2 linked regions of the Schizosaccharomyces pombe genome follow. Changing the gene in region 2 together with the main gene of any one other region gives a genetic interaction. Each region holds a gene or a part of one and is shown on either strand. Other genes may lie near its edges.

Region 1 (3,338 bases), on a different chromosome or scaffold from region 2:
TTGGCCCAAGTAGAATCCATTAGGCCAATCGTACACAAGCATTCGATGAATAATGCTGCGTTTGAGCATGCTCTTTGGAACATTTTTATAAAATGCTTCGGGATTCCACTCTTCATCGTCCAACATATCTTCTAAATTGATGTCTTTGGCATTTGGTGGGTATGTTTGCTTCTGAATCCATTCTACACACAATTTTACTAAGAAATCCCTAGGAAATCGATTTAATAGCTTCTGGATCTTCTTGTCATGCTTGATTCGAATATTACTAGACAATTCAGTACGCATAGCGGTCCTCCTTTTTGAATATCTTATGTTTACGACAAGGAGCCACAATATATCAATCGTTACCGTGGACTAATTTTTTATCCTCTCAAACACTGATCACTAACGAAGGATTTCAGATATATTTGTTTTGTTAAATATTAATGTTACAAAAGAATGGTCTTTGAGATCATTTGGCAGCACCAGCTGTAAGCAAATTTAACTCTTCCCAAGTTCTTCTAAGGCAATGGTTTGGATGGTGGTGAAGGGAGTCCTTGCCCAGATTGCAGAAGTCTTGCTGTTTTCTCGGCAGCTGCTCTATTAGCATGATATCGAATTCGCATTTGGAAAATATCTCGATGAAGATTATAGTGTTTGGATTGGGTCTGTGTTGAACATTCTTTAGAAGATGAGGAGGAGGAGTTGATAGATTCATTCTCGGCAGACGCCGAATCTACATCTTTCTCCTTCTCTGTCTGCTGCACTTCTAAATTTGGTTCCTGTTTTGATTCTTGTGGATTACCGGTCGCATCCTTCTCTACGTTTTTTGACTCATCCTTAGCTTCTAGTTTGTTGGTGTCGATTTTGTTAGTCACTGATTTAATCACGGAAATTGGTGTAGCAAAACCTCGATCTTGCAAATGATTGTAGCAAACATAAAAACTATTTTTATTTTGTTGGTTAAAAAAACTTTTTCCTTCCCATTAAATTATGTATCAACTCAAACCATGAAGGTTTTCACAATGATTACTTACAAATCTAATTTAGTTTTTGTTATTAATACCCATTTTGTAGGCTTGTAACACTAGAAACGATAATAGTGTATTAGAAAATGGTGCTTCATCAAGGTAATGGGCAATTTTTAATTGCTGTTGTTTCTTACAATAAAGCATGGTTTTTTATCTACTTCTGAAACTTGTCTCAATGTATAGAAATTTTCAAATTTATTGGACATCGGCATTTTCTTCAACATTACTACTTTATATTTGAGGTAAAGAAGAGAGAAGGGGTGAATCGCCTGAATTACACTCACACATCAATTTATCTAATAGACGGTTCAAGCACCACAGAATACTTAATTTATTTAATTTATAACTAAAATAAAAATAAAATACTCAATCTATTTTATTGATTTTTTTTGCAATTGCCCAAACATTGTATAGACAACTAAGCAACATGTTGACTTTTTTTGCTCAGATCAAAAAAAATAAATAAATAAATAAAGGCTTTAGTGCAACGTACACCCACATATACATATTCAATTAAAAGGCATGTTAACAAAACTTCTTATTGAAAACCTTCCTCGGACAATGAATACAACTCGTAAAGTCTATTCAGCCTATTGTAAAGGGAAGGTAAAATAAAACACTGGAAGCAATTCCAAAATTTTCTATTGATCAACTTGTTTGTTCATAAAAATTGTAGCAAGTAAAAGGTGGAAACCTAAAGATGGAAAACATTGCAAAAATCAGTGATTTAGAAATGAAACGCATAAGTAATGACAATACAAAGATAAATAAATATTTAGAAATGATAAAGAAAAGGGACAAATTCTTATCAACAATGGAAAAATGAAAAAAAAAAAGGAAAAACGAGTGACCGGATAAACCAGCAATGTACAGCAACAGCATAAGTGGAATCTTATACCCAGATACCTTTATCTAAAAGGAATAGCAAGTTAAAAAATAAGCAACATTGTGCAAGAAAATAACCAGCAAGCAACATAATAATAATAAGGAACCGAGAACCAAACACATATAATAATAATAATAAAAGACGAGCCTCCATAAATAACACACAAACATCCGTTCATACCTCATCTCTCACGACTATATGAGGATGCAAATGAACATCTAAAGATTTACAATGACAAAACTTGACTCAAAAAAATAACCATCTGAACAATCCGATAAAACTTGTATGCTTGAAACACGGAAATAGCGGCAAAAAATGGATGAAAAAAGCAATGCGATGCAATTCGATGATGAAGCAAAAAATAAATCAGACATCCAAACTTCACTTCAAAGCAAGTTGCATTTTGGGAGACAGAGGAAATTAATGAATCTCAATGGATTGTTGTGTATGTTGTATAGCTGCGGTTTCCGGTCTCGGTACGATTGAGGGTGGTCTCTGAAGTATCGAGGTTGGAAGAACAGAAGTACTAGCGGTCTTTACCTTTATTAATGATGGCCTACGAACTGGTGAGGAGTTGGGCTGTGAATCGAGCTTTGGATTTGGTTCCGAATTGGGATGTGTGAGCGGCAAAGATTCCGACCTTGATTGAGGTTGCGAACTGGGCATAGAAGCTGGCAAAGAATGCGGTTGGGCCGAATCAGAAGTAACAGCGCTTAGCGTAGGTAGCTCTAACAACTCTTCCGTCTTGCATATTTTAGAAAAGATCTTTTTATCTTTTTCAGGATCGGTATGCGTTTCTGAAGGCTTGGGTACCTTGGAGCCATAAGCAGCAAGTAAAGAAGTAATGACCTCCATTAGTGCCTTGCGAAGACGCACACTATCGACAACAGAATGGTCCAAGTTCATGTCCACTTTGGGTACATAAGGCTTTTGCAATAGACGATACATGAGGATACGAGTATTCTCGCAAACATGAAGGCCGCAATCACAATCATTAATTTGTTGTGGAGTCTTCATGTGTCGGACACGGAATTCCTTTTTAAGGAGAATGCCAAGGTTTTTGATGGCAAGGTTGCAGTCATTGGTATTACCATTGGACATGGAGTCATAGTACCAGCCCAAACCTTTTTCAACGGAGACGACTAACAAACTCCAATGCGAGCCGCTCTCGATACCACACTCATTGGTATCGTTGATAGGAAGAAAGATAAACGATGCATCAAACATGGCAGGAGGTAAGGCAGACTCGATTTCCAAAGGATTAGGAGCCTGGGCCAAAAAGAAGACCATAGCAGGACGAAGCAAGTATATTTGTTGACTCTCCTCCTTGGGACGTTTGAGCAAGACTTGACGCAACATAATTTCGTAAAAGAAATCGATGTTTGTATCAAGGATCCAATACCCAGGACGAAAGTGGTCGACGTCGTTTTTGCGAAGGGAAA
Region 2 (3,549 bases):
ACGAACGCCAGACAAAGCAGACTCGAGGATCCCCTTGAATTTTGAAGAAACGCCATAGCTTTGGTCTAGTTGAATACTCTTTTCCAAAGTTACATCGCTCAAATGATATCCGCGACTTAAAAGTTCAGAGATTATAGCTGAACGAGGCTTGTCTTCTTGACGAGCGGCTTGATCGCCTCCAGCACCTCCTTGATCGGTAGTAGAAGCAGCACCACCATCTTCACTGGTGATTTGGATTTTGTTTTGTCCAAGGAGAGCATCTTGCAAAAGTAAGGCCGTCTTGGTGGCGCTAGGGCGTTCAAATTGGATTTTCGCGGTTTGGGTTTCTCCAGATTTCTCGGTAGAGATGTTGGACACTTTACCGCAGAAAGAAAAGAAGTCTGAGATTTGTTTCTCAGTAACTTCAGGAGAGATGTTCGTTACAATAACTTGGTTGCTCATTACTTTTGTTTCAACTGGTAATATGGAGATTCAAAGTACGTTGAGTGCCATGGAGGCTGCTTTTAAGTAGTGATCATCGATGACGACATCCTCCCAATTACGATTAGATTGAGCCCAACGAAAAAACCACAAAAATGCAAAATTTCCTGACATTTCTAACTTGCCCTTAGCCTATATCACGGAAAGTTGACTTTGTGCTGCTTTGTTAATGCCACTACTTCATACTTTAAATCTGATATTACATTAATGAACGTGTGTTTTCAAAAGATTGCAATTATCGCGATAAGTGAGCCTAAATCAAAATGAAGCTGAAAATAGATGACAATTATCTTTTTATCTGAATATCACGATACAATTTTTATTGGTCACTGTAAACTAAATAGGATAACACTTAGATACTTTGCTGTACTCATGATTTCTTGACTTGGTATACTAGTTGGCTTTGTTCGTTGCATGGCAAAGTGCATAAATTGTGGAAAAAATATCCATTAAATTGCTATTACGAAGTAATTTCCGCTTCTACTATGTTTCGATAAATTCATAAACTTAGGACCGACATTAATTTTCCCGATATCGGCATATCCGGACAGTGAAAACTGATGTTTCTAGAAAACCGAATTTGCTGGATCGCCTTTACGGTCTTTCTAAAGAATGCGAAAGAAATATATGAATAGATTACCTCGCTTGTTCCTTTTCTCATGTTAGTCATCCAAATTGTTTCTTATTGAATAATGAGCAAAATTATCAGGTATATTGAGAAGGCAAGAGAAATATAAATGTTAGACCTACAATAAGTAAAACAAAGATAAGTTAAAGGCTTTCCTTGCTTCAAAGCATTTTTTAATCTATTTTCTCGATCTTACTTCCTCAATGTACATAGGTTAACAATATTTATATTTTACATTTGGGCTTAAGCTGCGTATAGAGAAAATAAAATATCATAAATATCATAGGTATATTGCTACAAAAGATAGAAATGAAAACCTCTTTTACAAGTAACTGTGTTATATTTACGAATTGGTGATTTGAATAAACCGTTGTACTTGAAGTTGGCACCTCACCTCGGAGTTTGTTGGTGTTTTATATTGATTAACCTACAAAGACACTTAGTCTAGTAGAGATTGTGCTTTGAATTTGTAAAAGACAAGAATCACCTAACTAGCCGCTAACCTGGTAATGTAACTGTGAGCGGATTATATGGTTACATGTTTTCTCACTTCCACAAACTTCACAAACACAACGATGGCGTCGAAAGGTGCTTATAAACGGGTATGGATTTATAATTTTAAGCTTCTTCTAATTATTTTAGTTAATGAAAGAATATCTAGCTCTTCAGAAAAACCCTGTTGAGCTTGTTGACGCTAAACCTGCAACTGAAAACATTTTGGAATGGCATTATATTATCACTGGCCCTCCGGACACTCCATATGAAGGAGGACAATATCATGGTATGTTTCTTTTAAATTTCCTTCTGTAATCAATATGTGCATGAACTTTTGGCTGTTGCCATCCTTTGCTAACTTTGCGTACAGGGACATTGATTTTTCCTCCCGATTATCCTTTTAAGCCACCTGCAATTCGCATGATTACTCCAAGCGGACGTTTCCAAACGAATACCAGACTTTGTCTTTCTTTTTCTGACTTCCATCCAAAATCCTGGAATCCCTCATGGATGGTTTCTACTATTCTGGTGGGACTCGTTTCTTTCATGACTTCTGATGAGATTACCACTGGAGGTATTGTAACTTCGGAGTCTACCAGGAGAACTTACGCAAAGGATACGAAGAGATTTAACATTATGGATAATCCTAAATTCTTAATAATGTTCCCCGAGTTAATTGACAAAAATAGGGAAGACATTGCCAAAGCAGCTGCTGAAGCGGCCCTAATCGAACCCCAACAAATTCACTCCACTCCTGTATCTTCCAATGAATGCAAGAAGAATGAACCGTTTAATTCAAAGCAAAGCTGGGTTAAAAGTCGCTGGAGCATAGCAGTTTTGGTGTTTTTTGCCCTTGCTTTAGCTCGTTTTTTTGGAGCTGATTCTTAAGATGTTATGCTTTGTATTTATTTTATTAACTTATGAAAGCGTTTTTGCATTTGATCCTCCGATAAAGAGATTAATGCCAAATAGCGCTTTGCCGTCCTTATATGTTTATTTTTTTTCTTTCGTTGCCTGTTGCCCCTTCATCTCTGCATCACATGTCGCGCTTCAATTAAAACTAAATGGAAGTTAATCTTTGTTCTAGTTTCTTTTTATAGACAATTGTCTCTTAGCAATTGCTTGATTTTTAGCTTACTAAACTACATTTTTTTAAATGTCGTCAAATGTTATTAAAGCTTCGACATTTCGGTAGAAAATAAAATTAAATTTTAGTTACTCAATTCATTATTTGTGATTTTCTTCAATCACTATCCAACTCGTTGCATATCCAGCGGCCACAATATAGGCCCAGCCTGGTAATTGAAGAGTTTTTGCATCATAAACATCTCTTTTATCATCATTCGAGGCATTTCCATGCTCATTCCAACCGTATATTAAAACACTTCCTTTCTTTGTCCTTAAAATATTGTGCTCAGTTCCACTGGCGATTTGGACGATATCACTTGCTTTTGTATGGGCCTTCTGAGCACGATCACAACGACCAAAAGCATAGACACAGCCTTCAGTACTTAATAGACTCAAGGTAGACCAGTTTGCTGATATAGAGCAGATGGAAGAAGACAATTCACTGTTATTTGCTTGCCAAGCATCACATTCTGCTGCTACATTCCACTTCTCCCCTCCTAAAACAATTACATGTCCTGTTTCTTGCAATACTGCACTGAACTGTACACCACATACAACAGCTTGAGCATGTTCAATACGCCCGAGAAATGAAACCTTGTTAACTGTTTTCATAACTACCGGTCCAAGTTGTCCTTTGCGGCCATCTCCACAACCATACAAGTTCCCTTCATTTGTAACACAAATCCAGTGTCTTAATCCAGCCGAGATATCAATAATGAACTCTTTATCGTCAAGGTAAGGAATGTCAATTTCCCTCAAACCTTGACTATTACTGCGATTCCCTTGACCCAATTCACCGGAAAGTCCTTCACCACATG

Evidence for each region. A genetic interaction does not mean that the proteins touch.
Region 1: mutations in ubc6 (region 2) and SPOM_SPBC32H8.01C together harm fitness less than expected from each alone (positive genetic interaction), as found in Schizosaccharomyces pombe (one large-scale study listed by BioGRID).

What each region holds. Positions count from the first base shown.
Region 1 is NC_003423.3:1,449,871-1,453,208, forward strand, and holds SPOM_SPBC32H8.01C (uncharacterized protein), read right to left. Parts: upstream 1,255-3,338; 5' UTR 1,235-1,254; coding exon 1,145-1,234; intron 1,067-1,144; coding exon 1,017-1,066; exon of another isoform or gene 925-1,016; coding exon 501-924; downstream 1-500. Other genes in the region: kinetochore protein Mis15 , read right to left, coding at 1-285; NEDD8 protease Nep2, read right to left, coding at 2,317-3,338.
Region 2 is NC_003424.3:1,214,063-1,217,611, reverse strand, and holds ubc6 (ubiquitin conjugating enzyme Ubc6), read left to right. Parts: upstream 1-1,663; 5' UTR 1,664-1,683; coding exon 1,684-1,710; exon of another isoform or gene 1,711-1,750; coding exon 1,751-1,889; exon of another isoform or gene 1,890-1,973; coding exon 1,974-2,491; 3' UTR 2,492-2,824; downstream 2,825-3,549. Other genes in the region: RNA-binding protein Vip1, read right to left, coding at 1-441; RCC domain-containing protein Ats1, read right to left, coding at 2,831-3,549. UniProt on the Schizosaccharomyces pombe protein: Catalyzes the covalent attachment of ubiquitin to other proteins. Functions in degradation of misfolded or regulated proteins localized in the endoplasmic reticulum (ER) lumen or membrane via the ubiquitin-proteasome system.